Linked DNA regions of Schizosaccharomyces pombe. The gene in region 2 interacts genetically with the main gene of each other region. Each region holds a gene or a part of one and is shown on either strand. Other genes may lie near its edges. The genes, in order: pdc2 and dhp1.

What was found.
Region 1: mutations in dhp1 (region 2) and pdc2 are lethal when combined (synthetic lethality), as found in Schizosaccharomyces pombe (one study listed by BioGRID).

What each region holds. Positions count from the first base shown.
Region 1 is NC_003423.3:2,368,300-2,373,757, reverse strand, and holds pdc2 (topoisomerase II-associated deadenylation-dependent mRNA-decapping factor), read left to right. Parts: upstream 1-2,144; 5' UTR 2,145-2,174; coding exon 2,175-2,251; exon of another isoform or gene 2,252-2,306; coding exon 2,307-2,407; exon of another isoform or gene 2,408-2,514; coding exon 2,515-4,303; intron 4,304-4,341; coding exon 4,342-4,512; intron 4,513-4,564; exon of another isoform or gene 4,565-4,567; coding exon 4,568-4,694; 3' UTR 4,695-4,923; downstream 4,924-5,458. Other genes in the region: SPOM_SPBC19G7.18C (uncharacterized protein), read left to right, coding at 834-981, 1,030-1,100, 1,147-1,686; SUMO deconjugating enzyme Ulp1, read right to left, coding at 4,935-5,458. UniProt on the Schizosaccharomyces pombe protein: Activator of decapping that functions as a general and active mechanism of translational repression and required for P-body formation. Stabilizes the 3' terminus of mRNAs and modulates the rates of mRNA-decapping that occur following deadenylation.
Region 2 is NC_003424.3:3,355,470-3,362,705, reverse strand, and holds dhp1 (5'-3' exoribonuclease Dhp1), read left to right. Parts: upstream 1-1,702; 5' UTR 1,703-1,813; coding exon 1,814-4,789; 3' UTR 4,790-4,956; coding exon of another isoform or gene 4,957-5,577; 3' UTR 5,578-5,626; coding exon of another isoform or gene 5,627-5,974; 3' UTR 5,975-6,562; downstream 6,563-7,236. Other genes in the region: Tf2-4 (retrotransposable element/transposon Tf2-type), read left to right, coding at 1-1,159; SPOM_SPAC26A3.11 (mitochondrial omega-amidase), read right to left, coding at 4,957-5,577, 5,627-5,974; cnt6 (centaurin ADOP ribosylation factor GTPase-activating protein), read right to left, coding at 7,091-7,236. UniProt on the Schizosaccharomyces pombe protein: Possesses 5'->3' exoribonuclease activity. Required for the processing of nuclear mRNA and rRNA precursors. May promote the termination of transcription by RNA polymerase II. Essential for vegetative cell growth and chromosome segregation.

The DNA.
Region 1 (5,458 bases), on a different chromosome or scaffold from region 2:
ATCTGGACATTATTAACTAATGAATAAGCTGTAACTACTACTAGTAGTTCCTACATATTAGATACAAAATCCGTCTAAATTGGCAAAACTTTTTAAAAAAAAAGACCAAGTCTGTATTGCATCTATTTCTCTATTTCTCAATTGCCTTCTTGTATTTTTCGTTAGCTGTGTAAAATGCAGTGGCGCTTGTTTAATTTACGAGATAGAATTCTGTGCTAAATTAGTTCAAAATGAATAAATACGGTTAATGACAAAGAATTATACGATATAGACTTATTTAACAACTGGGAAATTCCTGTTGAACATATATGCTTGCAATATTAAAATTCAAAACAATCGTATACCACGAATTGATGCCACCAAGGTCTGTTTCATTGAAAGATGGAATGTAAAACGTAGTTCGAAAAAGTTGCATATTTCATCACAAGTGCTTACCAGCCAAAAAAAATTCAGTCTATCAGTTTCATAAGAAATTTCAACAGAACAATCTTGTGTGTCAAATTTTTATTCAGATACGTATTTCTTATTCATGCCAAGTATCACTGTAGTAGCTGGGAAATTTAGATGGTCCTAATCCCTAGAGATTCTCCTTATTCACATCCTCTTACATCAGTATCCAAACTATCCATAAGGCAACAAGTGATGAGTACTATTACCTTTTAGTAGTAGTATTTTTACATTAGAAAGGCCTCAAATTTTTATATATTGGGTTAAATTGTACAGTCCGCAAATAATTTAATTACATTTATTTCGCTAACATAACCCGTATAAGCACGTTTCATATTCTTGACATTATTGTGTAGCCTCAGGAATCGCTTCCAACGTTTATTATCATGGATTTTTTTTGGGAACGAATGTTAAATGATCCTCAAAACCATTTCAGTGATGACCAAAAGGAATTTCTAAATCATGCAAAATACCGTGTCAAAAGAAATACGATTTTTGGGATGCTAGTCGGGTTTTCTCTCCCATTATACTTAGGTATGAGATTTCGAACAAGCAATTGAAAATAACTTTCTTATTTTTTAGCTCGTAACAAAAAGGTTACTCCAATCCGCTTGTATGCAACATCAATTATAGGAGGTCTTGCTGGAAATGGGGTAAGTTTTAAGTAATACTAAGCTCAAGCTTACAAATTATGAATAGGTTGCTCAGATTACTACTCTGGCATACAATTTGTCGGCTATACGTCAAAGAGATGATGGCTTTGAAATACTTCGCAAAATACAAGACTCCCTTATTCGACAAAGAACAACGATGCGACAAGGCAGATTTCCTTCTTCATCTTCTGAATTCCCTCCAAAAAACTCAAAATATCAATTACCTGGAAGTATGCCGAATACTGGTGCCTCTTCTAGTCAAGATCCCTTTACGAATTCACAGAGTACGGAGAAAGAGGACGCCATGTACTCTAAAGACAATGGCTTTGAAGATCGATCAAAGCCAGCGTCAGCATGGGAAGCTATTCGTAACCGTAATCGAAATACCGGTAACAATTCTTTTCCATTTTACGAAGAAGACTCGAGTGTTAAATCCACAGATAGTGCTTTTAGTGGACAAGAAAATTCTGAAGCATTTCCTTCCCGAACTTCTAATCTAGGCTCTGAACAGTTGGATGAACCTATTTCTCACGAACAGGAGGCATTTGATCAATTGATCTGGAATGATTCATCGTCTTCCAAATAATTTCCTTTATCTCTACATGTTACGATAATTTAAAATTAATTTTTACCAATTTGAGTGTCACTGAATTTATGATGTAAAGTAGTTAAATTTAGTAGATATTTCTTTTTTTCTATACTGCATTGCCAGATTGATGTAGCTTGCTTGAGCAAGCAACTTATGTATGTTCATGCATAAATTTCGATACATTTCAGTCTTTCAAAAAGAGATAAATTTAAATTCATATTTATGATATACATCTATACGTGATAGGTTTTAATAGCTAGTCTTGAAGATTGATGTGAAATAAAATAGGGATAGATTTACTGGTATAGCAAACCAAATAACAACTTTAAAATTCAGATATAAAAAAAGAACGCAAAGTAAAAATATATATAAAACGCCATGAATCAGTCTGCGTCGAACCAACCCAATCTACTGTCATGAGTATTGTTGTATGCAGTGCCGCCCACCTAGCTACCACCAACTTCTCATTACCATAAACCCATAAAATGTCATTTTTTGGGTTTAATACTACCCTTCCAAAGGAAAATATGTTTCCTAACGAAGGGCAGTTAGAAGAGGATGGGTAAGTCGTTAATATTAATGTAAATATGATACTTTAAGCTCACAAGTATATTTAGCATTGACTTTGAGGAGACCTACGACGATTTGGGTAATCAATTAAATGAAGCCGGAGATGAACTAAACGACGAGACTTTTGGTGTTAGCGCTGGAAGTATAGGTATGTACCTTTGTGCTTGTGATTCTGTAATCATTCTCGGCTGTCATATCTGGGATATTGCAAGCTATTAGTATTTAATATTTTAATATTTTTTCTCACAATTCTAGGACGTGATTTTGATTTTTCAGGTACTACCGCTCAAGCATCTGCACAATTGGAAGATGAGCAGTACCAAATTAATCAACAAAATATTTTCGCTAAACCTGTCAAACCAGCTTCTTCAGAGTTACCTCAAGTTAGTAGACTTAATGGTGCTTCACAATTTCCTTCACGGGAACCTGCGTCTACTGCGATCAATAAGCTTTCCGATTTGCAGCCTATGGCTTCGATTTGGGAAAATATTGTTCCAGAAAAGCCGGCTATTATTCCACCTGAGGTAGCCTCTCTTCAAGATCGTTTGGGTGCCCAACCATCTGAGAAGGTTTTTAGCTTGCAGGAGTTGGAGGAACAGTTATTGAACTCAATGACCGCTCCAAAACCACCTTCTCAACCCGCTATTCCCATTGTTCCATCCGAAATGGCTGCTCAAGTAACTCGAGAAAACATCTCTTCATTGGACCCGGCGATTAGTGCGGCTAGTATTGGTAATGTTACTTTTGGTCAACCAAACATCCCTAGCACTACAACTGATTTTGCTGGATTAGCTGCTCCTAATATGGTACATCCTTCGCAAGCTATACCCAATCCTGTTATGCAACCTTCCCTTGTACCTCAAATGCCATATCCTCAAAACGGCATGTACAACCCAAGTGTTGCTCCTCCTGCTTCCCTTGTTAATCTTTTCCAGCAGGAACAATTAATTCAAAACCAGAACCTTGATGAAAAACGTCAAAAGTTAGAGCGTGATCATATGCTCATGGCTCAATGTGCTGGGTTAATGACACGCAGTGATAAATCGTTTATTGCGAGAATTCAAATATCGCAATTGATGTCGGAGGATCCCGAATCTGATGATTTTTATTATCGCGTTTACTCAATTATTCGAGGCCGCAAGCCTTCCGAGGAAGAAGCCAGTCATTTTATACAGACTTATCTAGGACCTAGCAATAATCGCCGTCGTGGTCGTCGCTCCGAAAATCCTATGCAGAAATTACAACAGCAACTTCAGCGTTTGGTTTCTTCTGCCAAAGAGCGCCCTAAGGCAACTCAGTTGTCTTTAGAAGGTGCTCTTGGTAAAATTGCTGTTAATACTGTTCGCACACCACGACAATTGTTGAATGTTAAACGTCCTACCGAACCAGCATCTTCAAATTCATCATTAAACAATTTTTCTGGATTTTCTACGAAGAAGGATGTATTGCACGCTATTGAGAAAGTTTATGACTTGTTGCTTGACTTTGAGCAAGCCCTCCGTAAAGCCTCAACGCTAGAAACTACCGATCAGGAGCAAATAGATACATGGAAAACTACTTTAAGCGAGAAATTGGAGTCCATTTGGAAGGCATTATACATAAATGAATCATTGGAAGCATCTTCTAAGACTAGGCCTCCATTCATTTCTATAATTTCTCACCCCAAAGGAATGAGGCTGCTACCTCGCTTGTTCCCACATTTGTCCAAAGAGCAACAAATTTCGATTTTAAAGGTCGTAGTTTACAATTTTGATTCTCTTGATATAGTCCTTAGGGGAACATTTGACGTTAACGGTGAGCTGCCTTTGGACGTTGTTTCCGAAATGAGTTCTTTCACGCAGTTCATCATCCCTCCATTGCTCACTATTGTTAATGAACTTGATTTGGAAACTATAAATAACTTATTTTCTCAACTTCTCAATCGCACTAATGCTGTTTATTTAATACAGACGAAGATTGGTTTGTCGTTCCTTACTCTATTCATTAGTCGCGCAGAAATTTTAAAGCAATCTGGCACTGTAAATCAAAATGAAAAAGAAGAATGGTACGTTATACATGTATTTACAGCATCTAACTATTTAGGGAAAATACATTCAATGTTATGTTTAATCGCGTAAAAGGTCATTTCTCGACGGTATTCCCACCACCTAACGCTCGAGCTTATGCTGATGAATCTTATCCATGGGAATTCTTAGCAGCTTGTGCTACTGCTGCTAGCTCTGAACAACATTTTACATTGGTTTCTGAAACTAGGTACGTTAAAATATGTCTAGTCGAGTTTTTGTACTAACAAATATGTAAAAAATAGGGACAGAGTACTTGATAACATCATTACTAGCAAACGGGCACCTTCTGAAATTGCTGTTGTGCGCATCAGCAATGTTAATTTGTTTTTAAATGCAATGGGGCTCGACGCTCGTCAGCTCAGCGCTTAAGTTTGTTTATAAGATATGCGGGTATTTTTTTTTTCAAAAGCTATATTTGCTGAGATTCCTGGATTCAGATTTATTAATTAGAGTATTCCCTGCTACTTAAAAAATGCATACGCTCTAATATAGATTTAAGTAAATTATGTCCTTTTTGAAAACGCTGAATATGAAATAAAATGTATTGAACGAGAAAGAAATTAATATAAAAAACGATAAGTATATAGACAAAAAGTTTATAGCACATATTTAATAGATTTGTGCATCAATAATACTAGCTGCCATTTTGATTCGTAGTTCAGGCATATCATTTTGACTAAACTGAACAGGAACATTTCTAGATACACATTCAGCAGTTTTACAAGCAAAAACTCCACAATCATGTCCATTTCGTTGTCTTGGAGAATTGTCATCCATAAAATTTTCCCAATCTGACACGTCGACGGCACCTTTTGTTTCTGCAATATAATAGTCGCGCAACAAATCAAAAACTTTACCAGGGCTTCCGGCCAGCGAGTCCCAGTATTCAAATCGTTTCTTCGATTTGTTAATAACAGCCATACACCAGTGGACATCCAGATGTACTGGTATAAATACAGCATCCATATCTGCAATATTAACGCGTGCCTTTTTGGCCCATCTTCGAACACCCGCGTATCCACGGCGCTGCAAAGATGTATAAAAAAAAGTATTAAACCCATGTACCCGAGGTAAGGATGAATCAATTTTAGAGCGTTCCGAAATCAAATTCATGTAAAAATTAATTACCTCGT
Region 2 (7,236 bases):
ACAAATACAAGAATATGTACAGAACTGCCATACATGTCAAATAAACAAATCTAGGAATCATAAACCTTATGGACCTTTACAACCAATTCCCCCATCAGAAAGACCTTGGGAATCTTTATCAATGGATTTTATTACAGCTTTACCAGAATCATCTGGTTATAATGCACTTTTCGTGGTAGTTGACCGATTTTCAAAAATGGCAATCTTAGTACCTTGTACGAAATCCATTACAGCAGAGCAAACAGCTCGAATGTTTGATCAACGAGTTATTGCTTATTTCGGCAATCCAAAAGAAATCATTGCAGATAATGATCATATTTTTACTTCCCAAACGTGGAAAGATTTCGCACATAAATATAATTTCGTTATGAAATTTTCGTTACCATACAGACCACAAACTGATGGACAAACTGAGCGTACAAACCAAACTGTGGAGAAATTACTAAGATGTGTATGTAGCACACATCCAAATACATGGGTAGATCATATATCCCTAGTGCAACAATCTTACAACAATGCGATACATTCAGCAACTCAAATGACACCTTTTGAGATAGTACATCGCTATTCACCAGCTTTATCACCTTTAGAGTTACCTAGCTTTAGTGACAAAACTGACGAAAACTCTCAGGAAACGATCCAAGTATTTCAAACAGTTAAAGAACACTTGAATACAAACAACATAAAGATGAAAAAGTATTTCGATATGAAAATACAAGAAATTGAAGAATTTCAACCTGGAGACCTAGTTATGGTCAAAAGAACGAAAACAGGTTTTCTTCATAAATCCAATAAATTAGCACCTAGTTTTGCAGGACCGTTCTATGTGTTACAGAAGTCGGGTCCAAACAACTATGAATTGGATCTTCCAGATTCAATCAAGCACATGTTTTCATCTACTTTTCATGTTTCTCACCTAGAAAAGTATCGACATAATTCAGAACTCAATTACGCTACCATTGATGAGTCTGATATTGGAACAATTCTTCATATCCTAGAACATAAAAACAGAGAACAAGTACTCTACTTAAATGTCAAGTACATTTCGAATCTAAATCCGAGTACTATTATGTCAGGATGGACTACATTAGCTACAGCGCTACAAGCGGACAAAGCAATTGTCAATGATTATATTAAAAACAATAATCTAAATATCTGAGAACATATGACTTATCCTCAGATTTACATAGAAAATCTTGGGGAGGGCAATGTCAGCAATACTACACTACGCTATAATACACTACGTTGAGTATCACTATATGTCACATGTTCTAATTATATATCGTACCATGTATGATACGATATGGAGATTGATCTTAATGATAATCTATTAAGATCAATATTATCTGAATACTATAAATAGAGCTACTGCTGAACCTCGTTCCTCAGTTCAGTTATGAGCTATATTAGTGATAGGTAACATTATAACCCAGTTAATACAATACCTATACTCAGTTGCTACTTATACAACCTGTGTATTGTAATATAATAGATCACAAGGAAAACTCACCGCAGTTCTACGTATCCTTAAATCAGATACCAAACTGCGTAGCTTACACTTAAGAGACTAGATTTTAACTATTGTATAGCGAGTACGTTAGTAATTTCCAATTTACTCCAATGTGCGTTAAAAAATTTAGGTAGGACTGCGGAGACTACGCTAGATCTAGATTAAAATACCTAAATATTAAATCTTCAACTTATACTACACTCGTAGTCTTTAGTATCTAAAATTTACCAATTTGGGCTTTTTTGAAGCATTTGGTTTGGAGAAGATTTATTCGATTGAGTATTTTCTCCTTTACACCAAAAAATGGGTGTTCCAGCACTTTTCCGCCTTTTGTCGAGGAAATTCGCAAAGGTCATTACACCTGTTATTGAGGCTCCTACTGAAAAGCTTCCAGATGGTACTGAAATTGAACCAGATTTAAGTCTTCCCAATCCAAACGGAGTGGAATGCGACAACTTGTATTTGGATATGAATGGTATTGTTCATCCTTGTTCCCATCCTGAAGATCGCCCCGCTCCAGAGACTGAAGACGAGATGATGGTTGCTGTCTTTGAATACACGGATCGTATTCTTGCCATGGTTCGTCCTCGTCAGTTATTGTTCATTGCAATCGATGGCGTGGCTCCTAGAGCCAAAATGAATCAGCAGAGATCACGTCGTTTTCGTTCTTCTCGTGAAGCAGCTCTCAAAGAAGAAGAATTACAAGCCTTCATTGAGGAGGCAAAACAACAGGGAATTCCCATCGACGAAAACGCTACGAAGAAAAAATCTTGGGACAGTAATTGCATTACCCCCGGCACACCTTTCATGGACACTTTGGCCAAGTCTCTTCGTTACTACATAATAAATAAACTAAATAGTGATCCGTGCTGGAGAAATGTCAGATTTATACTTTCTGACGCCTCGGTTCCTGGTGAAGGTGAGCATAAGATCATGGAATTTATTCGATCTCAACGAGTGAAACCAGAGTATGATCCAAATACACACCACGTTGTTTACGGTTTAGATGCAGACCTAATTATGCTTGGTTTGGCTACTCATGAACCCCATTTTCGTGTATTGCGTGAAGATGTCTTCTTTCAACAAGGAAGTACTAAAAAGACAAAGGAAGAGCGTCTTGGCATCAAGAGACTTGATGATGTTTCTGAGACCAATAAGGTTCCTGTAAAAAAACCATTTATATGGCTCAACGTTAGCATTTTGAGGGAGTATCTAGAAGTGGAACTTTATGTCCCCAATTTACCTTTTCCATTTGACTTAGAACGTGCGATTGACGACTGGGTCTTCTTTATCTTTTTTGTGGGTAATGATTTTCTTCCTCATTTGCCTAGTTTAGATATTCGTGATGGTGCCGTAGAGCGGTTGACTGAAATATGGCGAGCTAGTCTTCCGCACATGGGTGGTTATCTTACTTTGGATGGTTCTGTTAATTTAGCTCGTGCTGAAGTCATTCTGAGTGCTGTAGGTAACCAGGAAGATGATATTTTTAAGCGTCTTAAACAGCAAGAAGATCGTCGTAACGAAAACTATAGACGCCGTCAACAACGCGAGTCAAATCAGGAATCAGAATCTTATGTTGACAACGTCGTAATTCAGCGTTCAGTTGAGACGCAATCGACAGAAGTTGTTACCTCTTCTAAATCAACTTCTGTTGATACTAAACCGCCAAAGAAAACTCAAAAAATTGACGCTCCGGCTCCAGTGGATTTGGTTAATTTGTCTGAAAAAACTTCAAATCGATCTCTAGGCGCTACTAATAGAGAATTAATTAATAATCGCGCTGCTAACCGTCTTGGACTTTCTAGGGAAGCAGCTGCTGTTTCTTCAGTTAACAAATTGGCGGCCTCTGCATTGAAAGCTCAGTTGGTTTCAAATGAGACACTACAAAATGTTCCTTTGGAAGACAGCATAGCTTCATCCAGTGCATATGAAGATACCGATAGTATTGAATCTAGTACCCCTGTTGTACATCCAATAGACACAAAAGTTTCAAATGTGGGTCAGAAGAGAAAGGCCCCAGATTCGACTGAAGAAAATGAAAATACTGATACAGTCCGCCTGTATGAGCCTGGATACCGCGAACGGTATTATGAACAAAAATTCCACATTTCACCCGATGAACCAGAAAAAATTCGTGAAGCTGTTAAACATTATGTTCATGGATTGTGCTGGGTTCTTTTGTATTATTATCAAGGCTGTCCATCTTGGACCTGGTATTATCCATATCATTATGCTCCTTTTGCCGCTGATTTCAAAGATTTGGCCTCCATAGATGTAAAATTTGAACTAAATCAACCCTTCAAGCCTTACGAACAATTACTAGGCGTTTTACCTGCTGCTAGTAAAAATAATTTACCTGAAAAATTGCAAACTCTTATGACTGATGAAAACTCTGAAATTATTGACTTTTACCCGGAAAATTTTACTATTGATTTAAACGGGAAAAAATTTGAATGGCAGGGAGTTGCTCTTTTACCATTTATAGATGAAAATCGGCTTTTGAATGCTGTATCAAAAATCTATCCTCAACTTACCGAGGAAGAGTCAAAAAGAAATGAGGATGGTTCTACTTTATTATTTATTTCTGAACATCATCCAATGTTTAGCGAACTTGTCAAACAACTTTACTCCAAGAAACGTCAAGGTAAACCACTTAAGTTATCCGGAAAGATGGCACATGGATTGTTTGGCAAAGTTAACACCAATGATTCCGTAATTCCCAATGTATCCGTTCAATGCCCAATTGATGTTACATCCGCTGACGCCCTTCAGAAGTATGGAAGCATAGATGATAATCAATCTATAAGTCTTGTGTTTGAAGTACCTAAATCGCATTTCGTACATAAATCCATGCTTTTAAGGGGAGTGAAAATGCCGAACAGGGTGTTAACCCCAGAAGATATCAACCAAGTACGTGCAGAGAGGAGCTTTTCTTCCCGCCGAAACAATGGTAATTCGTATCGTGGAGGACACCAAAGTTATGGTGTCCGACGCTCTTACCAATCGCAAAGTTACAGTAGTCGACAGAGCTACACTGGAGTTACTAATGGTTTTGCAAACGGTGGAGTTCAACCTCCTTGGTCTGGTAATGGCAATTTTCCTCGTTCTAATGCAAGCTATAACTCTCGCGGCGGCCACGAAGGATACGGCGGGCGCTCGAGAGGTGGTGGTTATTCGAATGGACCGCCAGCTGGTAACCACTATAGTAGTAATCGCGGAAAGGGTTACGGCTATCAGCGAGAATCCTATAACAATAATAACAGGAATGGCTACTATTAATACATTTAAGTTTTCTTAGTACAATTTTGAAAGCGGGTTTGGGATATTGGAGATAAATAATATATCTGATTATTTGAATTTCATTGGCACATTGCATAATTAGTTATGCAATTCAGTTACAAAATGCATGTTGATAACATAAAATTATACTCAACAACTATACCGATCTATTCCTCTTTCTTAAGAGCAGGTAATACTTCTGAATAAACATCAAAGCGGCGTTGAGTATAGATAGGAACGCTGTTTCGAGCGGTAGACATGACAGAGGGATCAATATCTGCGTAAACGATAGACGGTTTTTCATCAGTAGTAGCAATAACTTTTCCGAAAGGGTCTACAACAGTAGAATGTCCCCATGAATGATAGTCAGCGTTCATATCTCTAGCAGGGGCACAGCAAGCAACGAACATCTCATTATCAACTGCTCGGGCTCGTGCAAGTAGTTCCCAATGTAAAGGGCCTGTGGACAAATTAAATGCTCCAGGGTAAATCATCACACTACAGCCATTTCTAGCTGCTATCATAGCGAGTTCCGGAAATCGTATATCGTAACAAATACCCAAACCAAACTTCCCGTATTCAGTGTCAACCATAGTCATGGCGTCGCCAGGTGAAAGACTATCAGATTCGCGGAAGCTAACTCCACCAGGAATGTCAATATCGAATAAATGAATTTTCCGATGAACGGCTATCAATTTTCCAGAAGGATCAAACACCATTGCAGTGTTGTATAATTTGCCATCCTTGCGTTCAGGAATAGAACCGCCAAATAAGTAAGTCTTAGTATCCTACAGTACCGTTAGTCTCACATAATCAACGAAAATTAAATTAACAAACCTTTGCCATAGAGGATAAAGCTTGGTAAGAAGGAGATGATTCCTCTATAGGTTCAGCATACTGATTAAAGTAACCAGTACCATATGGTGAATTGAAAATTTCTGGTAATACAATGACATTAGAACCGTTTTTAGCGGCTTCCAATACTTTTAAACGAGCGAGTTGTAAATTTTCGCTCTTGTCTTTGGTATTGGCAAGCTGAACCAAGCCAATACGAAAAGCACGAAAATCTTTAGGAACCAGAGATGAAGCTGAGACAGACATGATGTTCCTTGTATAGCAAAAATTTAATGAAGGAAAAAAGGATCTTGTGCCTTTTTGAACGAGTCCAAAAAATTTACTGTTCATATAAACAATCACCGACTTGAAATTTTAGGTGAAGGAAGAGGAATGAGTAGAAAGCAAAGATACGAGGGAAGATGTCCTGATTTGTAGGCTAGTCTCAGAATATCTAGCTTGCGATAATTTTGAGCTCCAAAATATTATATTCCTGAAATCTCAATGTAACTTATTAAGCACGTGGCTAGCGAAATCCTCCAATCCAAATTACACCTTGTTATCAAAAAGAAATTTAGCAAGGTGATCAAACTTCCATGTCTTTGATAAGAAGAATGTCGACATCAAACTAGTTTTCAATCTATTGTAAATCTAAAGAAGAAAAAGGGATTTACATTCAAGCAGCAACTACACAAATAGAAATCGTTGTTTGAATGTTACGGAAGGCAAGACCAAAAAAATTGTTTTTGTTTATCTACAAGTTACAAAAGAATGATATTTATTACTGTGTCAACTAGTTTATAGGTAATGATAATATCGTCTGTCATTTTTAGAAAAAGGGGATTCAATTACTATAGATATTCAGTTGTTCCGAATGTGTTGAAAAATAAAATCTTAAGCGTCTTCGTTTCGCAAAAGAAGAAAATAAATGTTATAATAGCTCGAATGAACTGTTTGGCATACATGTTAATTTCACGTATATTGAATATTGATCTTGTTCAATAACAAATGAACTTATGGCATGCATAAGATCCATCAATCGAGAAGAGCCTAAAAATCGCATTTGAATGCGTATTTAAAGAAAGAATAGCTGTATCCTTAGTCAAAAAATTTTGTATTGAAAGAAAAAAGATTAAGAGTATAATGAAAATAAAGAGGAAAAGAAAGTTCGAAAACCAAAAGATGACCAAGAAAATAATGAGTAAATTACGTTGTTTAGCAAACAACCAAAATAAATTGCAATAATAAATTATAGAATTAACACATGATCCGAATAAGAGTAAAGCTGTGGAGATTAATAAGCTCTCCATTCAAATTCGTTGCGCTTCAAATCATGGAATTCACGGAAATCCGAAATGAAATGACACCTGAATAGATATTGAAATAGATGGTAAAAAGAAAGAATGAATTCGATTGGAAAAATGAACATAAAAGATGATTTGATGCAAAAAGTAAAAATGCTTCTCCCTACTCTTTCAAATACTTTGTAAATTGTTTTTGCGAAAGATATGATTGCATATCTGGACTTACATGCTCCGACAACTGTTCGGAGTCAGGAAGCAATAACCCATTCATGAATAAAAGTTCCAAGAGATGTAACTTACTAGTATCAC